Diceros bicornis minor: one gene and its partners. The protein of the gene in region 2 interacts with the protein of the main gene of each other region in a pairwise test. Links are inferred from orthologs where the notes say so. Each region holds a gene or a part of one and is shown on either strand. Other genes may lie near its edges. The genes, in order: GCSH, NMI and MTMR9.

Region 1 (7,349 bases), on a different chromosome or scaffold from region 2:
TGCTCCCTTGGAACGCTTTCCAGAGGAATCCTCTCTTCTAGTTTCTAGCATTTGCTAGCATCCTTGGCTTTCCTTGGCTTGTAGACGATGCATCACTCTAGTCTCTGCCTCTGTCATCACATGGCCTTCTCCCCAGTATGTCTGTCTCTGTGTCCCTTTTCCTCTTCTTGTAAGGACATTAGTCATACTGGATTAACGGCTCACCCTACTCCATTATGACCTCATCCTAATTAATTACATCTGCAACAATGCTATTTCCAAATTCAGTCACATTCTGAGGTACTAGGGGTCAGGACTTCAACGTATCTCTTTAGGGGACACAATTCAACCCATAACAGGTGTCATCCCCCAAAAATGTTTCTGGATCAAATGAATGTAGGAAACACTGGATTATAAATGGTTACACAAGGTCTTCAGCATGGGAATTGTCAGGGCTTTTAATATACTAACTGTGCACTGTGAGTCTCCTGGGCTGAGAAGAGCATGAGAGAGAAAGTGTGTAATGAACCCCAAACCTCTTTGACCACGGCATCCTGTACCGCAGCACCTCAGTCAGGGCTAGTGTTCCTTAGACGATGTTCTGAGAATTGCTGATCTACACCAGGGGTTTTCAACCTTGGCTGCATGCTGGAACCCCCAAACTTCATCCCAATACATCAGAATCTCCAGGCTGGGACCCAGGCATCAGTATTTTTTAAGCCCTCCAGGCGATTCCAACGTGCAGTCAGATTTGATAACCATGCTCTAAATTCTGAGAATTTAGAGAGATCTAGATAACAAAAAGCTTCCAGGTGTCTGTGTGGATAAGTGCACATTTCCTGTCCCCCATGCAGGGTGTCGGGGGAAGAGGGAGAATCTCCCTCTGCCCTTTCCCTTAAGGTTCTTCTGGCTGGCCAAATAATCAACAAGACAGGTTAGCAGGAGAAAATAATACCAAGTTTAACAACATGTATACATGGGAGAAACTCAGAAATGAGCAACTCGTCCCTCTGTCTAAGCTGCTTGCTTAAGTATTGCAGCTAAAGGCGAGGAATGTGTTGGGGGTGGGTAGTGGCCTGGGACTTCAGAGGGCAGGAGGACAATTCTTTTCAGGGTCATCTATAGATAATGTGGTCAGGGAGAGACAAAGTTTTTTGATAAAAGAGGCTTGGTGCCTTTCCTATTGTAACCTCTATCCTACATTATCTTTACAGCCATCATGATAGAAGATCTGTTCCAGGAAGGAGCCACCATGTCAAATTCTTTAGGCAGTTAGTGGCGGAGGTCAAATGTCCTTCAGAGAAAACAATCAAGGTAAAGAGATATATTTCAGGGTGGCCAAATCTTGATCTCCCACAAGGGCAAACCCCTCACATTTCCTCTGCAGGTCACCCTGTCTTATCCCTCCTCCTCACACTACTTCACACACCACGGTAGCAGATATTCTAGGTGCCTGCCCCAAATCCATCACACACTCTCTCCTCCTTGCTATCAGAATCCCGACTGGTTCAGATAGCCACCTACCCCTCCCCCACATGACTCATGGGAAGCTGACCCTGTAGCCACTTCAAGGTAAATCCTTGTCTTAGTAGTGGTAATCCATTTCCCTTGACAGTGAGTGCTTTAGGGTGGCCATATGACCCAGTCTGGCCAACAAAAAATGAGAAGAGGTCTCTAGGACACTTCTGGGAAAGGTCTGCTTACTAATAAAAAGAGACACATAGAGACAGGCTCTTATGCTGCTGGACATTGTCTGGTCCTGGAATTTTGGCAGTTACCTCGAGACCACAGGCAACAATCTGAAGATGGCAGAGTAGAAAGACAAGAGGAACACGCGTGCTTGATAAGGTCTTTACACAGCTGAGTTAATCAACCCTGGAGCTGAACTACTGCCAGCCATTCATCTGATTGAGACCTTAAATTTTTTTATGATGGTGAAATCAGGATCCTACCCCACTATCCTGACAATCAAAACCCAGGATCCTTTATAAACAGAGAGCTACATAACATGCAATATACATAAAACCTAGGGGATTGCATCATCTTCTATTCACTCAAAAGCCCATCATCCATTCTTTATCACGTCAGGTATGACCATGAGCTATATATGCAGAGATGCTCATCAAATAACCCATAGCAAGGTATACACATCTTCTGATAAACTGGTACAGAAACCTAAACCAGATAGATACAGTCAGTTTGTTTTAAGTAGGACAAGTTCTAAGATCTGGAGAAGTTGTAAGTTCTTCCTTTCTCTTTCTCATCTTGCCCATCTACTCTCCATTTCTCTGTTGTCTGTAAACATCAAACTGGCAACTCCTTCGACAGTACTGTTATGAGAGAAAAAAAAAATACATCTGCTCAAAGACATGGGAGGGCCCTTCTGAGACACCTGAAAGAAATGACCACTTTCAATTTTCAGATGCCTGTACCAAATGTGCAATGAGATGACTTTTCAAATCTCAAGCCATGGATGTCACAAAGATCACCAATTGAAAAAAATAATTTTATTATTATCCTCAATGTTTGTTAGACAAGAAAAACAAAAAAAGACACACTTCCTATTGTTGTGGTGGAAGGGCCTGTGATGTAGCCCACACATTGACATGTCATCTTGTTCTTCCCACCCAATGAGTTAGTGGAGCTGGGAATAAATATTTCAGGGCATAGCTTGCATTATGCAGCACTGGCTTGTAACAAAACAATAAAAACAGAATGCTGACATTATAGATGCCAGCCAAGATCTCAAGTTTAGAGCAGACCACCATGAGCCAGTCAGCATCCCAAACGGAGGAAAGTAGGACAGTGCTTAAGAGCAGCTGATTGCACATCAGAATGGAGGTCAAGTCCTGCTACTACCACCTAGTAGCTGCTTAAGCTATAAAATGCCTTCCCGTTCCCCTCCTGGGCAAGTTAGTCAACCTTTCTGAGCCTCCAGCTCCTCTTCTATGAAATGAGTGTGATACCTACCAGAAAGGGGTTTGGAGAGGATTAGAAAGATAATGTTTACCTAGTCCCAGGCACATAGCAAGGGCTCAATAAACGACCATTACTTACTCAGAGGAAAATGGAGCGTGACAGCCCTTGCAGGCCACTGCACAGATGTGCTGAAATCTCAATTTTTTAAGTGAGGCAGAAGCTCAGTGCAACAACAAATGGGCCTCCCGAACACACATACAAACACACACTCTTCAAGGTGCCCACCCTGTAATATGGAAGGTGTAGAGCTTGAGGTGTTTTTCACTCCAGTGTTTCTTTGCTGATTCACACCCACTCCATAAAATTTGTGTAGAAGGTGAGGTCCCTCCAGGAACTGAATGATTTTCTGTCTCCTTGGACAGGGACATGTCTTGCACATTTCTCAGAAGGCCTTGGGCAGGCCGGCTGCTTAAGCAAGGAACCGACCATGCTGGGTCTCAACTCCCTGCCTTTTGATTGCTCCTGCATGAGCTCACTGGCTCCAGTCCAGTCTCTACCAAGAGGCCACCCCCGACCCTTAGACAAGTCCTTGCCGCTCCATGAGCTTGGTGATTCTGTCTGACCTCTGTTTGGGGACCCTAGGCCTTTCAGGATCTGTAAAGGAATAAAGTGGGTTCCTAGATTGTTTTCAACATTTCGAAAAGTCAAAGAGAAACTGCATTTGCGTCAGCGCACCTTTGGCCAATGGCCAACAACCATCCTCGGCTGGAATGATTCTGTTTGCACCTGGCTATGAATCCCGCTCTGGGTGACCTTCATGCTCCGCAGAAGGGCGGGACCATACCCTTTAACAAGACTGGGAGCACCTCGCCTTCCCGAGGACCCCAGGGCCCAGTGGCACGGGAATGCACTAGCCAGGCAGAGCCAACCCGGCCCACAGCGCTGCTCACCGTCCCCGGCGCCCCCCGCGCCCTCCCCGGGGGGGTCGAGGAGCCGGGAGATACCGACCCACCGCTTCATTCGCCCGGAAACGACGCCCAGAGGCTAGGCCACGCCCATCTCGGGGAGGCCCCGCCCCGCCCCTCTGCAGGACGACCCAGCCCGGCCCCTGCCTGCCGCACTAGTCCCCGCCCCTCGCCCACCGCCCCTTCCGGGCCTCCGGCACTTACTAGTGTCCCAGCCCCCCGCGCGCCGCCCTATCAGAGGCCGCGCCCGGCCTGGAGTCCCCGCCCCTCCGCGCCCCGCGCCACCAGGCCCCGCCCCCGCGCCCGGGACCAGCCGGCTGGCTCCGGCTCGCTCCAGCCCGGGACCGTCCCGGGCCCCGCCCCCGCCCCCGCCGGCCGGGGCGCCTGTGGCGCTGCAGCGCGACCCCCGCACCTCTGCGAACATGGCGCTGCGAGCGGCGCGGAGTGCGCGGGCCGCGGCCTGCAGCCTGCGCGCCGCCTGGGCCCCCCCTCTGCCCTGCCCGCCGCGGCTCTGGGGGCTGAGGGCAGGCGCCGTCCGGACGCTGCGCACGGGCCCCGCTCTGCTCTCGGGTAAGCGCGGGCGGGCACGTGGGGCGAGCCGGGCCGCCCGGGGGAAGGGGTGGGCGCCCCGCTCCCCGCCTCGCCTCCCGCTGCCGACCGTCCCCGGTCAGGCGAGGCGACCCCTGCGCACGCCTCTTCTTGCTGGGGTGCCGAGTTGCGCGTCGCTGCTGCCGTCCCTGCGCCGCGCGGACGACGCGCAGCCTTTGTCCTGCGGGCTGGGCGCCCGACGGGGGCGGGGAGGAGGCCTGGGCGCGCGGCCGCCGTGTCCGCGCCGGTTCCCGCGGCGCCGGGGGACCGGGCAGGCGTCCCCAAGCGCCTTCGTAACCTTCGGTTACCTCGCGCGTGTGAGCATCTGGACCCTGAGAGTGGAGACAGATAATAGGCTTTAGCTTGCTGCCCGGACCATCACTGAGAACTCGGGAGTAGGAGTCAAGCAAGAGCAGTTACTGAAAGCAAAGCACTGCGGCTAGTGTCTTCCTAGCCAAAGCGAGCCTAACTTGGAAGACTCGGCTGTTTCCTAGATACAGGGAAACAGAGTCTTCTGCATTCTTCACAGAGACGTTTTGCTCAGGTCGATATTGAGTCATGGACGTGTGTTGGTGCTGAAATGAGGCCTAACTTAACGGACTTGGATAACTGCGAGACCTGCCCATAAATGTGGCCATCTCTGCTGCTTTAGCACAGTTATCGCAGCGGGAACACAGTTTTCTTACTTAGTGCGCAAGTGCTCGAGACACCAACTGCGCTTCCAAAATCTCAGGCTTCTTACTTAGGGAGCGTAGGTCTGTGATGGCTGTTGTCTCATTAAGCTCACTGTTTTAGAAACATGTTTGGGACTGGAAGAGTTGATAAGCTTATTTATTCCAAAGTCTGAAACATAAAGATGTTTATCCTCCTCCTTGCTAATGTAATCCCTCAGCTCTGTCGGTGCCACATATCAATACATTACCCATCTGAAAATCAGGGAAAAAGGCATTTCTCAGATAAGAATTGAATTTCAAGTCTATGTTTTTTTGTTATTCAGTGTTACACTATCGCTAGCTTTTTGTATTTTCCAGTTTCCTAGTTAAATATTGCCCAAAATATCAATACCCATGATCTGATTGAACACCTAGGTTTTTAATAACAGAGGCCTCAGTTCCAATTTTAGTTCCACCACTTGTGAGCTGTGTGATCTTGGGCGGAGTCACTTAATTTCTCTGAGTCTATTTTCCTCATCAGGAAAATGGAAATGATAATCCGGACCTAAGGACCTCACGGAGTTATCGGCAGGATCAAGTGAAATAATGTAACTGCTGTACATACAGCCTGACATGTAGCACTCGATAAATGTTACTTGTTATTAAATATTAGTGTACAGAATCAAACAGCAAAATATTGACCAATATTAATATATTTTATCTGATGACTCTGAAAAGAGGAACATGCAAACTTTTCATGAATTACTCAAAATGCCTAATTTTCTGAGGCCAAAAACCATGTTTTTCAAGGCTCAGTAAGAAAGTAATTATTTACCTAATCTCCTGTCTACTCTTTTCCTGTTGGGCCAAGGGTTAAAGGAGAATTGTCCTAATCATTGTCTTTAGCCTAAATAGCATGGCCTAGTAAAAAGACTTAGACTTTGAAGTGAAGTGGACCTAGGAGCATTTAGCTTAGTAATGTTGCTGCCTTTTCCTCTAAACTAGTGATTGCTCAGTTGCTAAACTGAACGTGAGAGCAGTCTTACTCCTAAGATTATCTTTACAATTAAGCAAGATGGCAAGGCCAAAATCAGGACAGTAGTCTCAGAGAAGTCATGTATTTATAGTTGTCCAGCGCTTATTTAAAAAGGCTTATCAAACTGCCAGTTCTAGAGTTGTAAGAGAATCATAGGGAGAATTGAATGTTGTAGCCAAATAACTATATATATTAGATATTTTGCTCAGAATCCCCTTTACTTTAAAAAATTACTTTACTCCAACTTTTGAGTGCTTCCTGTATGCCAAGCACTGTGTTGAGAACTGGGAATACAAAAGAGATCAACCCTGCTCTTGCTTGCTTTGTATTTACAGTTTACTTCCTGGGGGAAACTGAAAAATAGCCTGTGTCTGTAGCATGTTAAGTGCTGTGAGTATGTGTGTGGTGGGGGTCAGGGTGGGAGGAGAGCGGTGCACAGTGCTGTGGGAGCATGTTGGATGGCCCAGGAACCCAGGCTTGGAGGGCTATACAAGGCTTCTGGCAGGAAAGAGCTTCTAAGTTGAGTTCTGAAATAGTCAAGAAAAAACAGTTGGGAGAGTGTTGCAGTCAGAACACCAAGTACAAACCTTAAACCTTTCTTAGGGAAAGATCAGATTGACCTGAAGCGAGTATAAAATTAAGAAAGATTTTTAGTGATTGGGAGGAAAAAAGTACTAAGTCATACTCTTTATTTACATTGTGCTATGTAGCAGAGCTGTGTAATCAAAGCAGTTTGATGCTGTTTTAAGTACAACTATCTTTTGGGTAATGGGTAAGAGCGAACTAGCAAGGCTTACTTTAAAACAGTATTGGAGGGCTGGCCCCGTGGCTTGGCGGTTGGGTGCGTGCGCTCCGCTGCTGGCGGCCCCGGTTCGGGTCCCTGGCGCGCACAGACGTGCCGCTTCTCCAGCCATGCTGGGGCCACACCCCACATGCAGCAGCTGGAAGGATGTGCAACTATGACATACAGCTATCTACTGGGGCTTTGCGGGAGGGGGGGGGGGAATTAAAAAAAAATACATTAAAACAGTATTGGAATTAAGGAACCATTTTCCTATTAACTTGATTCATTATTTTTGGAAAAATACTTTGCTTCAGAATGTGATATATATATATAAGATGATAGCATATGCTTTTTAAAAAATTATTTATTCTTTAAAGCAAATTCTTTTAACATTAAATCCTCAATATTTTTTTCACATCTCTTGG
Region 2 (7,289 bases):
AACCGCTAAGCCACAGGGCCGGCCCATATTTCAAAATATTTGATCTATCACAATATTTTATTCACTTATACAAACTTATTCATACTCACTAATATGAAAGCTTATACAAAGGGGTTATAACATTGGGCCCAGAGTATTTGACTCTTACTCTTGTATCTAACCACTACTTAGAAATGAGTATATAGCAAGTACTAGATATAGTCACTGTACTAGTAACTGTAGATGACAGGAAAGAAATAAAAAATGATCTTTGCCTTAAAAGTACTTCTCCAGGTAGGAAGATAAAGCAGAAGAAATGTGCAGGAAAAAAAAATTCTCACCAATGGGTAACAGCTTCCATTTATTGAGACTTACCAATGGCTAAGGCACTGCACTTAGCAGTTGACATGTAGTAGTATCTCACTCACAACAGCCTCATTTCACAGATGAGAAAACTGAGGCAGGGAAACTTCAGTAACTTGAAATTAGTATTGAAACCCACATCTGAGATCAAAACCATGCTCTTAACTGTATAGCACTGCATGCCTGACAGAGTAAGGGATGGGGTACTTATTTTACTTTCCTTTTTTTTTTAATCAGTTGTCTACTATTTTATTTATTTTTTTCCAGCTTTGTTGAGATATAATTGAGGTTGAGATATAATTGACATATAACGTTGTGTGAGTTTAAAGTATACAACATATTGATTTGATACATTTATATATTGCAAAATGGTGTTGATTTAATACACATATATTGCAAAATAGTGTTGATTTAATATATTTACATATTGTAAAATAGTGTTGGTTTGATACACTTATATATTGCAAAAATAATTACCACCACAACATTAGCTAATACCCCCATCACGTCACATAATTACCATTTCCTTTTTTGCTATGAGAACATTAAGATTTACTCTCTTAGCAACATTCCTTTACTTTTACATTTTCCAGTTGCAAACCTCTGGAAAACTAGATGATGTTACATAATTTCCTGGTGTCCCCCAGGGTCTTGCACAATGCTGGGCACGTTCTAAGTGTTTCAGCTTCCCCAAGAATGAAATGCAAACTGGATCACCAAAATCTTGGCAACAGTAGCAAAAGCTTGGTGTATAAGACCTTTTCTAAAAACAAGAGCACAATATAAAGGATATCAGATGGTTTTCTCCTGGTTTGCATACCCACCAAACTTGTGGTGGCTCCGAAGCTGTTTCATGCCTCTGGGATTTTTCACTTGAAATTTTGTCTCAGCCCACCTCATCTAATTTGAAGAATCCACTTAATTTTCACCTCTTCTGTGGAAGAAACGTCTCTTGATCTCCTGAGATTGAGGGGACTACTTTCTCCTTTATGATTTTTTTTGTTTTTTTTTCTGGTGAGGAAGATTGTCCCTGAGCTAACATCTGTGGCAATCTTCCTCTGTTTTGTATATGGGACATTGCTACAGCATGGCTTGATGAACAGCATGCAAGTCCATGCCCAGGATCTGAACCTGCAAATCCCGGGCCACCCAAGCAGAGTGCACGAACTTAACCACTATATCACGGGGCTGGCCCCTTCTTTGTGTTTTGCTATGCCTGGTATCCTACCTCTTCATAGCACACACTGCACTGTATGTAACACTGGTCTGTGTGTGTGAATTTATAGGGAATCTGGGAGGAGTTCATTACCATTTGGTGGAGAGATAAATGTGTAACATAACATACATCTCATATCATTGCGGTATAGATTTACATGAGCTGTCCAAGGCATCTCATATGTGACATAATATTTATTGAGTGCATTATAGACACTCAATAAATAATAACTTTAATATTAAGACATGGTATAATTTAGTGTGCGGAAAGAAAAAGTTTTCCTCTACCCTCTTAGGGTTCCTGGCTGGGTCTGAAAATTAAACCGACAAAGATAGATTTACAGAAGAAAAGCATACAGATTAATATAAGTTTTATATGACACGAGAGTCTTCATAAGGAAACAAAGACCAGAAGAAACAGTTAAATCTGACTATTTTTATGCTGGGTTTGATGAAGAGTGGGCAGTCATGGAGGAATATGATGCGTCAAGGAGCATGAGGTAAGTGCAGTAAACTGGGGGAGACTCAGCAAGGCCTGTTTGTTAGGATTCGTCTCGGCATCCCTTTGTCTTCAGAAATAAGGATGCTCCTTTCCTCCAGGTATAGAGAGGGCACCTCTCACACGAGGGTTTTATGACCTGTTTCAGAGAAGGATGGTGGGAGGGAGGGAAAGGTCAGAGTGACCTTCTTGCTTCTGTTTTCTCAAACTTCTTCAGCTTAAACTATTCAATATGCCAAGGTGCCACATTTGAGGGTAGCATGTCCTGGACCCCATCATTAGTAAAATTACCCCATTAGAAACTCTTCAAGATTTTAATAGCTGCTCCTTGAACAAAAGGATTTAGTGGTCAAATTAGTTCAATAAATTCAAGGTTGAATAAAGTTAAACTTTTTCATGTGTGCTTTAATTTTTCCTGCAATACTTCTCAAAATTCTTTTTTTTTTCTTTTTTTTTTGTGAGGAAGATCAGCCCTGAGCTAACATCCATGCCAATCCTTCTCTTTTTGCTGAGGAAGACCAGCTCTGAGCTAACATCTATTGCCAACTCTCCTCCTTTTTTTCCTTCCCTTTTTCTCCCCAAAGCCCCGGTAGATAGTTGTATGTCATAGTTGCACATCCTTCTAGTTGCTGTATGTGGGGACGAGGCCTCAGCACGTCTGGACAAGCACGCTAGGATCCAAACCCAGGCCGCCAGTAGCGGAGCTCGCGCACTTAACCACTAAGCCACGGGCCGGCCCTGCTTCTCAAAATTCTTAATGTGCTATTGTGCATTGTGACTCTCCAAAAGTGAATTAAGTATGCAGCATAACCTAATCATAGTTGGCCGTAGAATTCCTTCATCTTTAAACACCATAAAACACAGTGTGGAGACACTGATTTTATGGTTGAGAGTAGAGTATGACATCAAAGTCATTACATATTAATTGCTTGATTTGGGGTCACCTCTTTAATGCTTAGTTTCCTCATCTGCAAAATGGGAAGAATACCTATACCTCATACTGTTGTTGGCAAAATAAAAAGGATATTAAATGCCCAGGAGTTCTCAGTAGATGTTAGCAATTAAAATTGTTACTAATATGTCCAGGAACTGACTATTCATCTTTAGAACTCCAGCACTTTGCAGAATACTAGATTTGAAGCTGAGTTGAATTCGTATTGTTACACATGGCTTGGCTTTAGCATGTTGGTAGCCAAAAAGGCTTCGCTACTACCTGTATCCTTTGCCCTTTCACAGGATCTGAGTCAATATCAGATCAGCTCTGTTCTGGCCATGGTCCTGCTCCTTAGTATCTTCTTATAAAAAACAAAAACAAGATCAAAGAAGAAATGAGGTTGAACTAAATAACCTCTCAATTTCATGCTCTCTAAATTTCTAAGGTAGAACGACATTAATTCTCAACTTGTGACAGATGAAGTTTTTGTACTTTCAAACTGAGCTGATGAGCACAAAAGCCCTTATCACGCACCACTTGATTTTTTTCACTTAATTCACTTTTAACTGATTCCTATCACTATTCTTGATCTAAAGGAATTTGGCTTTTGTTAATCTGTCATTTTAGACTGCTATATCGGTTATTACATATGAGTATATAGCATTATACACTAGAAATCATTTTGATGCATCTCCTTCCTGACCTCTATTTACCAGCAAGTACAGCTGTGGGGTGGTTCTTGGTGTAGAATTAAGAGACACTGCAGTTCTTGAAATAAGCCAGACGTTTTTATTTTCAAAGGAAAAGATCACACCTAGTGAAGCATTTATTTACAAGCTTCACAACAAAACAAAAGATTGTAAGACAATTTTCAAGGGACGTGGGTCATAGAAACCAACTGAACACCACAGCTTTCCCAACCTCATGGCCCAGAGGACGCTGCAAAAGACACACAGACGAGCTGATCTTGTGCTGGTTGTAAAAATTTGTAGATTAAGGTTATAAAGACAATAAATTACAATGAGAGTTACAATCTGGGGAGAGACGCCTGCTTTGACGTTATTTTGTTTCAGTCCACTTTTCCAACCGTATGTCCAGTAATATACACACACACACAAGAGTGTTTTTTAAGACATGTCCTGAAATTAGTGTTTATGGACACTTCAGGAAAACTTTTGGGATAGATTCCCCCAAAACAAAAACAAAACAAGCAATTTTTAGAAATCGAAAGTGAAAATGGTTATAACTTGTTAGTGTTTAACCAGTTACTGGAGACACCAGGTTTGCTATTCCGAGCGGTGGTTAGTTTTTTCACTAACCACTACTTGAGCACAGTTTTCTTTTCCTTTTCTTCTTCTTCTTTTTTTTTTTTTAAGGAACAAGCTGTTAATCCGAGTGACACCCACTTGCAACGGCACCTCGGATCTCCCGAGGCGCTTCTGGATAAGGCAGCACCAGCCTCGGGGACCTGGGACATCCGGCGCCGACCCCCGAGGTTTCCCGGAAAGGCGGGCGCGCTGGGCCCCGCGTTGCGGCGCTCGACGGGCCGAGGCAGGTGAGTGGGGCTCCCGGTTCCCCGGCTGCCGTCCCTGCTCCTGGTAGCCCCGGGCTACCGAGGCCCTGGGTCGGGAGCGAGGCGCATTCCGCGGCGCCAGGGACCGCGCGCAGAAGGCGGCTCTGCGCCCCCCGCGCCCCCGCGCCCCACCCCCCGCAGCCTGGGTCGCTGTGGCGACAAGCTGCCGAGAGGGCGCGCCTGCCCCTGCGCCCACGGTGCCTTCTGGGTGCCGGCCAGGCCTCTGACCCCGTCTCCTTGGTGTGCTTTGCTTCATTCTGGAAACTGAAACTTAAAACCACTGTGTTTCCTCAACGTTCTTCTAGTGTCTCCCGAGATAGTTCTTAGGAAAACTGATGCCTTGAGATTTACTCTCCTTGGCAGGCGCAGGGTTTGGCAGTCTTTCCTCACGTTTCAGAATATTCAGGGTTTTTCTTGAAAGAGACATCCAAAGGAGAACACCATGTTTCCCTGTCTGTATAACATGCATAAGTTTTTTTAAAACTATATATGTTTATCACTATTTTATTAATTACCACCTCCTGCCTTCCTTCCCCTCGTTTCCTTTCTTTTTGCTGCCAGATATGGGAAGATTGGATTCTATCAGGCCTGCCACCGCAGTGATATGAGTATAGTAGGAAAACAGGTGGTGGATAGATGGTGGTGATTTGTATTGGTTTTTTCATTCACTACCATAACAAATTATCACGGATTTAGTGGCTTAAAAACCACAAAGTTATTATCTTAAAAATCTGCAGGTTAGAAATCTGACCTGGGTCTCACTGGGCTAAAATAAGGTGTCTGCAGGGCTGCCTTCCTTTCTGGTGGCTACTGGAGTAAATCTGTTTTCCTGCCATTTCCAACTTCTACAGGATGCCCACCTTCCTTGGCTCAGTGGTACCCTTTTTCAATCTTCAAAGCCAGCAGCGTGCCATCTGACGATTATTATGTTGTCACATCTCACTCTGACTCTGCTCTTCTGCCTTCCTCGTTCACTTTTAAGGACCCTGGTGATTACATTGGGCCCATGGAAAATTCAGGATGATCTCCATATTTTGAAGTCAGCTGATTAGCAACGTTAATTCTCTTTTGCAGTGTAACCTAACATACTCACAGATTCTGGGGATTAGGATGTGGGCATCTTTGGGAGGGTTGTTATTCTGCCTACGATCTGATTGCATAAAAGGAAGCCTATTACTGTACATCCCGCTGATGCAAAGAGAGGACAGTATTGAGATACTAAATATGTTGCAAAAAGTTCTGGGGGTGTCATGTAGTAGACCATTTATAAGAGTTAAATATATTGAGAGCCTTTATTACAAGCTCTTAAGAATATTGACTTTAAAAAAAGCAATTAAATAATGTTGCAGTTTTTGCTTTCTGGAAATGTGATAAGAGAACTTCATATGCGTGGATGTCCTGAGCAGAACAACTACCTGAGTCAAGATACTGCACGATTCTCTAAATATTGAGTATTTTCAATGTGTAAGCTCGTATTGTGCTCTAAATGGATGCAAGGAGGAGTAGACGTGGTCCCTGGCCTCAAGGTCGTGACCGTCTAATCATGGAAAATGACACAGGTACACAAATAAGTAAAGCTCCCCAAAAGAGGTAAAAGAGGGAGAACTAATGTCCCTTGGGGGAATCAGAAAAGGCTTCAAGAACTTGGCAGAAATTTGGGATGGACCTTGAAGAACAGTAGGATTTCATTAGGTGGAAATTAAGGTTGGGAGGGGTGGAAGGATGAGACATATTGAGGGACAAAAGGGAGAAGAGGGACCCTTCGAGTGTTCAGTGTGGTTAGGAGACTTAGTCTAGGAGTTGTCTAAGAAAGACTAGAAAATAAATTGGAGTTAGATTGTGTAAGACCTTGGATGAATGTTGGAGGCCGTCATAAGGATTCTGCAGTTGTTGATGTAATAGGGAGCTACTAATATATATGTTTTGAAACCATCTCAAACTTACAGAAAAGTTGCAAGTACGATACAAACAACCTTTCTTTTTCCTGTAAGTTTCCAAATTCTTGAGTATACGTTTCCTACAAAAAAGGTATTCTTTGTATAACCACAATACAGTGATCAAAATCAGGAAATTAATATTGACACATTGCTGCCATCTAATCCTTGGATCCAATTCAAATTTTGCCAGTTGTCCCAATAATATCTTGTGTAACAAAAGGACACAGTTCAGAATCATGCATTGCATTTAGTTGTGATGTCTCTTTCATCTCCTTCTGCCTAGAACAGTTTCTCAGTCTTTCCTTGGCTTTTTTGAACTTGACACTTTTGAAGAGAACAAGCCAGTTTGTCTAACGTTTCCTCATGCTTAGATTTAGATTATGTATCTTTGGCAGGAATATCATAGAAGTCATGCTTTGTTCTCAGTGCAGCCTATCAGATGGCAGATGATTTATCTCATTATTTACTTTGATTATTTTATTCTGGTGGCATCTGCCTGGCTTCTTCACTGTGAAGTTACACATTTCCCCTTTGAAATTAATAAATATTTTGTGAGGAAGGATTCTGAGACTAACTAAATGGTCCTTTCCCCACCAAAATTTCAATTTATATATGTCTGTATGTATGTCAGTATGGACTCATAGTTTTCTATTTTACTCAGTGGATTTAATTATTACTGTCATTATTTATTTTTATGATTAATTTATTCTCAGATTTGTCCAGTGAGAACTTCCTCAAGCTGGATTTTCTGTCTTTTTGACATGTTCTCATCATTCTTTGAGCACTTTC
Region 3 (7,624 bases), on a different chromosome or scaffold from region 2:
CTCCTAGCCCGGCCTGCTGCTTCCACTCTTGCCCCCCTACAATCCATTTTCTGCCGGCGGCCAGAATCATCTTCTAAAAAGTCTATCAGCTGCTACTTCCTTGCTTTCAACTCTCCAAGGGCTCCCCATGAAAACCATCACAACAGCATGTAAGGTCCTACAGGATCTGGCCCCTGTTTACCCCTCCAACCAGTTTCTGCCATCCTCCTAGCCTCTACTCCTTGCTCACTGGCCTCCAGCCACTGGAGTCTTGGTTCTTCCTGGTACATGCCAGATAAGTTCCTGTCTCAGGTCTTTGTATTCCCAGTTGCCTCTGGCTGGAATGCTCTTTCCTCCAGTATTCACACTGCTAGCTTCCTCCCTTCATTTGGATGTCATTCATTCAAATGTCACTTGTCTTCTCTGAAATTCTTTGTAAATACACTGCCTCCTGGCATTCTCTATCCTCTCATCTTCCTTTATTTTCCTTCCTGGCACTTATTACCTGACATTGTTATATATTTATTTGTTGATTAACTTGAATGTTCATCTCCCCCACTAATACATAAGCTCCTAGTCTGTCTTAGTCACCACTGCATCTGCAGAGCCAAGACAGTGCTCAGCACCTACAAGACACATGGAAGTAAATATTTCTTGAAAGCAACAATTAAACAAACTCTGATCTGACCACCTAGCTCATGCTCTTTCCATTACATCATGCTGCTTCCCAGGAAAAAGATAAACGTGTGCACAGTTTGTCATTTCCCCTCTAGCAGATTAAAAAGGTCTATGTCTGGGCCGTCCCGTGGCTTAGCGGTTAAGTGCGCGCGCTCCGCTACTGGCGGCCCGTGTTCGGATCCCGGGCGCGCACCGACGCACGGCTTCTCCGGCCATGCTGAGGCCGCGCCCCACATACAGCAACTAGAAGGGTGTGCAACTATGACATACAACTATCTACTGGGGCTTTGGGGGAAAAAAAGGAGGATTGGCAATAGATGTTAGCTCAGGGCTGGTCTTCCTCAGCAAAAAGAGGAGGATTAGCACAGATGTTAGCTCAGGGCTGGTCTTCCTCACACACAAAAAAAAAGGTCCATGTCTTATATACTTCTTTAAGCCCTACCAGGCCCACCATGTAGTAAATGCTAGGTAAATATGATGAAATGAAAGAGTGAAGAGCAACCACAAAAAAAGTTAAATAAGCAAGAGAGTTGATGGCATGGAGAAACTCTAATTTGTATTCTATGCCACCAATGACCATTCAGTGGTCAATTCTTTGTTTATTTCCAATGTGCCTATCCACCCAAGTCAGAGGAGTTTTGAAGGAAATAAAAATTAACCAAATGCAAGTCCTTGCTTCAAGGAGCTAACATACATGCAACTATCAAAATACAAATTTTAATATACACCTATGAAAGAGGTATAATTAAAGAGCTACAGGATTCCAAGGTGAGGGAAATTACTTCTGGTTGTGGGATTAACAGAAGAATGTGTGAAAGAGCTGGCAGTTGAAATGGTTAAACTGAATATTGATAGATGGGTAACAGTTGGATGGTAGCCTATCAACTCCTGAAAGACAAGAACTATATTTCATTCATCTTGGTGTCCTTAATGCCTCACAAAATGTCTGGACCATAACGACATTCAATAAATGTTTAACAAGCTTGGGAGGAGCAAGGCATTCCAGGCAGAAGGAAGCGTGTCGGTAAAATACAGACATGAGAGAATGCAGCATATGCATGAGCAAAATAAAGAGTGAGGACTGGCTAGTGAAAAGGGTTCATGAAAATGAATGGCAAGAACTAAGGTAGGAAACATAGCTTAGAGCCAAAACATGGCTTGCCATGAATGACAGACTAAGGGGTTTAAGACTTTATTATGCAGGCAAGGAGAGACCACTGAAAACTTTTACAAAGGAGAAGGTGACCTGAAGAAGACTGTAGTAGGAGCCCTCTGCTCGGAAAAATAAATCTATCACCACTTCACTCTTACTGTTTCAAATTCTACCATTGGAAATTTTTTTCTGTTAACACATAACCTCTCTAGGAATCTTCTTTATATTCAAATTCTCCTGAAAGATAATAGAAAAGCTGTTGTCATTCATTTATACTTTAGTATAAATTGGATAATCTATTTATCTTCTCCTGGCTAGACTAAGTACACAGAGCTATTGGGGAAATGGGAATTTTGACCGCAGATGGAAATATAACTTTTTGACTCTGAGACACTACCTTAGAAAGACAGAGTCTAGGGTGCATGGAAAAAAAGTTAATTAATTAATACCTTTGCTTAAGAGCCAACTCTGTTCTTTCCAAAAGCAGAACTGAGTAAAGATAAATACATAAAAGATATTATAATCTCCCATAGTGGGAACTACTAAACTGATGACCCAGAAAGTAAGAATTAGGAGAAATATGATAAACTGAAGAATTTTGAGGGGGGGGAAGGTTCTGTGGAATTTAGACACTACATCTGAGTTCTTTGAGTTTTCCTCAAAAGTGGCCAGTAAAGACTTTACCTAAATCACATTCAATCACAACTTCATGAACTGTGATAGACGATTAATATTCAAGGAATGTAATGGTGCAAGAAGAAATTTAAAAAGAAAACGTTAAAAATCCACACAAATGGTGTATGTACCAAAAATGAGAATCGCGAGGACAATAAACATGTGATAACCCTGGGAATTCCATCCAGACTTCATGGAAACCGGGTATCTCATTTGGATGGTTTTCTGCTTTCTAAAACTCAAATCCTCAACCCAGGCCACAGAGGGCTCGTTCTGCGGGCTGGCTGGGCGCTGGGTCCACCCGGGAACCCAGGCTCCCGCGGAAGAGAAGGTGGGACGGGACTCACCGCTTGTCGATGGCGTCGATGTTTGAATGGAGGAGCCACAGCTCCTCCGTGTTGTCCTGCCGGGAGGACAGGATCAGGTGGTGGCCAGTCAGACACAAGGTCCCCTCGACGGCGGGATAGAAAGGCCGGTGCAGCACCACATTGTCCACCCGTGGGGTCCTAATCAGCTCCGCAAACTCCATGTTCCCCAGCAGCCGGAGCCGGGGCACTGCCGGGTGGCGTGCGTGCTAGGCGGTTACACCGCCGCGGGGCTGAGGCGGAGAAGGACCCGGCGCTGGGCTGGCCGGAGGGGCGGGGAGGCCGGGCCCCGCCCCAGGCCGGAGTGGGCGCGGCGAGGCCTGTGGCCACGGTCACTGGCCGCGGGAAGCCCGCGCTGGGGCTGGGCCAGGCCGGGGCGTTTCCCCCGCAGCTCCCGCTCCCTCTAGGCCCGGGGCTCGGCCAGAGAGAACGCTCCGCCACAGGCCCAGCCGCAGCCGCCGTCTCCTGGGGACCCGGCCTCCGGCGGACAGGCCGAGGGGAGACGGAGGAGGCCGCTTTAGGGCCAGTTTCCAAGTCCGAGCCGCTAGGGACTCCTGACGGAAGGAGCTGCTCGCAGCCGGAGCCTAGAGCAACTCCGGGCGGAAGCGGCGGAGCTCGAAACCTGGAGGACGGGGAAGTCAGAGCCGGAAGTCGGTCCCCGCCTAGGTCCCATAAGAATGCTTCCGGAAACAGCGAGAATCGAAGATTTGTGTTCCTACCAGGAAAAAGTTCTTTCTGGCCTTCACGCCCACCGCTGCACCTCCACCCCCTCCAAATACTGTTCGTAAAAGGCCGGGGACGATGGGGTGACGAGAAGAGGTCGCTGACCTGCCTCCCTCCACTCGAGTAGTCATCCCTCCAAGGGCTCTCTTGAGGGTGGGGCTGCCGTAAATTGCAGCGATTTTCACCCATTCGCCGTGAAGAGATGGCAAGGGTGGGACCGAATCGGTGACTGACTCCAGAGAAGCCGCCAGGGGTAAGGGCGGGTCACGGGGCGGGCGCCGCGGACTCCCAGAGAGCGCCGCGCCGGGGTGCTGTGACCTTGACCCAGACGGAGGGGAACAGACACCCGTGAGAGGCACCTAGGTAGACGTACGTACAGTGCACAGAAGGGGAAGTGACTAATCCTGTCCTGGGAGGAAGCTCAAGCGACTTGCTAAAGCGCAGTTAGTCTGTAGCAAAGGCCGGACTTCCATCTAGATCTATGAAATCCAAGGCGTTGGGGCATTGGTCACCACCGCACAGCCTCCCCATGAAATACAACCCGACTGAACTACTCCCAGACACCTAGATTATGCCAGAAGTTTACTCAAATTAGTTTTCCTTGCTTGGTGCCGTTCTCCCCTTAAACTGTCATTTTCATTCTAAGATAGGGAATTAGGGGGGAAATATATAAGGGTTTGAGTCCCAGTCTGCTGTCACTTCATTAACCTTTGAAATCCTCACCATCTAGTACCTAAGAACAGCGAGTTGGCAAAAGTCTCACAGCAAAGACAAAATAAATTGCCTCAAATCTCATCATCACCCAACACATGTCCTTGCTTTTGTCCTTGCCCTTCCTAAAATGTTCTGGTCGTCTTCTCTTTTTTTGTTTTGAGGAAGATTGGCCCTGAGCCAACATCTGTTGCCAATCTTCCTCCTTGTTTTCCCTTCTTTCTCCCCAAAGCCCCGGTAGATACTTGTATGTCATAGTTGTACATGGTTCTGGTTGCTCTGTGTGGGATGCTGCCTAAGCGTGGCTTGATGAGCAGTGTGCAGGTCAGTGCCCAGGATGGGAACTGGGGGAACCCGGGGCTGATGAAGCGGGTCAGGAGGACTTAACAGCTACACCCCCATGCTGGCCCCAAATGTTCTCTTCTTAAAACAAAACGGTTTATAAGATTGTTACACCTGAGTCTCGTTTTATTTTATTTGTCTGCAAAAGAAAAACAGGAACCAACAGAGAAGCGAGAATGAGGGGAAATAACTTATAAAGCTATTTTTTTAATTGGAATTTTTGTTGTCCTTCCACTATGTGGTTCATTATAACAATTACCAGTTGTGGAAGGGAGAATTTACTTCCAGAATGAAGAATCAGGGAAAGTTTTACAGAAAAGGTATCATTTGAAAGGAGGACATTGAAGGATGAGTAGGATTTACACCCTAAGTGGGAGTGTAACCAAGATAGATGTCAAGTTTAATGATATCTACCAGAGCTAAGGAAAAATTCTTCAGAAATTTCATGACTTTTTTCTTTTAGATTTCCAGAAGAAAAAAAAAGCCTATGAAAGGACTATTGTGTCATTAAATTTAAAATGTTTAATGTTCTGTAAAGACATAAACTTTTTGCCCACGAGAGAAATTATCAATATCATGCTGGGTTGTTATAACGGAACACGGTAAACTTTCAGAAAATTACATCTACTCTAGGTTGAAGCTCAGCATAGAAAGCCATTGAGATCTCAAGAAAACGAAGATTCAATAGTCAAGAATGGAGGGAGTGGGGACCACAATATGTTAACTTACTACATGAGCAGTAGATGGCAGTAGAGTTCGAGGTAATGGGATAGGCTTCCATTCCGTTGACATGATTCAATGAAGCTTTAGTCAAAGTCATTATCCAAATTCCCTGGATGTAAAGGTCTCAGAGGATTCTGATAAACCAAAGAAGGTGATGGCATTTATAATTCATATAAAGCACTCAACACCTTACAAATATTATTATTTTTATCATCTTTTGTGAGATAATAAACAGCATTGATAGGTAATCTTCTAGAAGTTATTCTGTCAAATAGTCAGCCAGCATGTATTAAGTGCTGACTTGTTCATCAGCACTGTGGGAAATGGAAACAACAGATTTGACACAGCCCTTGCCCTCCAAAAGTAATAGCTCATTTGGGAAGGCCGACACACCCACACAACTAATGAACAAAATAAGAGAGTAAGTGCTAAATTTTGGAGTACAGATTTACTTGCCTAGTTTTGTGTTTCTCTACTAGGCCTTGAGTAGTTAGTAGAAATTGAGGCAGTTTGAAGGTAGTTTGAAGAAAGCAGGTCAAAAATTGCCAAAAGTAGAAGGAGCATCTAAAATGGAGAAGACGCTGCCTGTGTGCCATTGATGAGCAGCTATTCTCCATGTGCTTTGTAATTATACGTGGACTGTAGGCACTTGAAACGAACCTGATAACCTCATGCATGTCTTTCTTGTGTTCTCTATCCCCTTCATCCCCCAAGCAAATCAATCACCAAATTGTTGATTGTATCTTCTAATAGCTCTTGAATTCCACCGCTTCTCTCCATTCCCAAGGCCACTGCCGTAGTTCAGGCCACCATCGTTTCTCACGTTCTGTTACTTAACAGGAAAAGCCTCTCAGTTGGTTCCCTGTCTTCTAGTGGGGTTCCCTTCCAACCCATCTTTCCACTTGGCAGCTAAAGCCCTATTTGCTGTTCCAAGTTTCTGTTTTTCTTTTCTTAACTTATAAGTCCCTTTGTGATTTAGCCCCTTAGGCAGTGATCAGCATTGCAGATCTTATCTCTCCTCCTCCCTCCCTACCCAGCGCAACAGCCCACATAAACCCATTCCTTGTGATTTTCACGCCAACTGTTCTTAAATAGCTCACAGTTTCCTTTTGAGGTTTTGCACTCAGAACCTTTTTACCAAGTGGAAGAGTAGGGCAGGGACCAGCATCATCAGCATTCCTTGGGAACTTTGTTAGAAATGTTCCACTCCATAGCTACTGAATCAGAATCTGCCCTTTAACAAGATTCCTAGATGATTTTTATGCACATGAAAGTTTGAGATAGCACTGCTTTAAAGAATCTCGGTGTTCCTTCTGCCTATTATATACTCACCTCATTCCTAATACCTTGTCCCTTGACCTGCTAATTCCTATCATCCTTCAGATCTCATCTCTATGTCACTGCCTCTAGGAAGCCTTCCTTGATTTCCCTTCAAAACTATGTGCTCCACATTATATTGGCTTCAAAACCACGGAGTCCACATGATATGTATATATGTATACACACATATATATCACATTTTATGTGATATATATAATATATAAATGTGATACAGGGCCGGCCCCGTGGCTTAGCGGTTAAGTGCTTGCACTCTGCTGCTGGCCGCCCGGGTTCGGATCCCGGGCGTGCACCGACGCACCGCTTTTCCGGCCATGCTGAGGCCGCGTCCCACATGCAGCAACTAGAAGGATGTGCAGCTATGACACAAAACTATCTACTGGGGCTTTGGGGGGAAATAAAATAAATAAATAAAATCTTTAAAAAAAAATGTGATACATATAGCATATATCATATATATATATCATATTTTTGAGTGTTTACTCTGTGTTCAGATGTTGTGCTAAATGCCTTACATGTATTGACTCATGTAGCCCTTCTACAATTCTCTAATGTTGGTTATGATTCTTCTTTTACTGATGAGGAAACTGAGGCATAGAGCTCTTAATAACTTTTCCATGGTCAGACAGCAATAAGTGATGAAATCAGAATGCAGACCCAAGCAGTCGGGCGCAGACTCTGTGCTCTTCGCCACCGTGCTACATTGCCACCCATGAGACCTGAGCCCACCTTGGTTACTCTCTCTGATTTTACCTCTTAATAAACTGTATTGAAATAGACTCTTTCTGTGTCCATAACGTTCCACTGGACAATAAGCTCCTTGACAGCAAGGACCATTCTTTGTTGCAGTAGGCCCAGCATCTACTTTAGTGCCTATACCTCATAGACACTGTGTATATTTGTGAACAGATTCCCTGTATTTTACTTAACATATTCC

What was found.
Region 1: the proteins of NMI (region 2) and GCSH interact in binary tests that used the Homo sapiens proteins (3 or more experiments, as listed by UniProt). The two-hybrid records come from large-scale screens. The link is inferred for Diceros bicornis minor from reciprocal best matches to the Homo sapiens genes NMI and GCSH.
Region 3: the proteins of NMI (region 2) and MTMR9 interact in binary tests that used the Homo sapiens proteins (3 or more experiments, as listed by UniProt). The two-hybrid records come from large-scale screens. The link is inferred for Diceros bicornis minor from reciprocal best matches to the Homo sapiens genes NMI and MTMR9.

Annotation. Positions count from the first base shown.
Region 1 is NC_080771.1:30,615,586-30,622,934, reverse strand, and holds the start of GCSH (glycine cleavage system H protein, mitochondrial), read left to right. Parts: upstream 1-4,270; 5' UTR 4,271-4,285; coding exon 4,286-4,433; intron 4,434-7,349. UniProt on the Homo sapiens protein: The glycine cleavage system catalyzes the degradation of glycine. The H protein (GCSH) shuttles the methylamine group of glycine from the P protein (GLDC) to the T protein (GCST).
Region 2 is NC_080749.1:35,229,369-35,236,657, reverse strand, and holds the start of NMI (N-myc-interactor), read left to right. Parts: upstream 1-4,278; 5' UTR 4,279-4,545; intron 4,546-7,289. UniProt on the Homo sapiens protein: Acts as a signaling pathway regulator involved in innate immune system response.
Region 3 is NC_080750.1:62,993,855-63,001,478, forward strand, and holds the start of MTMR9 (myotubularin-related protein 9), read right to left. Parts: upstream 3,101-7,624; 5' UTR 3,015-3,100; coding exon 2,833-3,014; intron 1-2,832. UniProt on the Homo sapiens protein: Acts as an adapter for myotubularin-related phosphatases. Increases lipid phosphatase MTMR6 catalytic activity, specifically towards phosphatidylinositol 3,5-bisphosphate and MTMR6 binding affinity for phosphorylated phosphatidylinositols.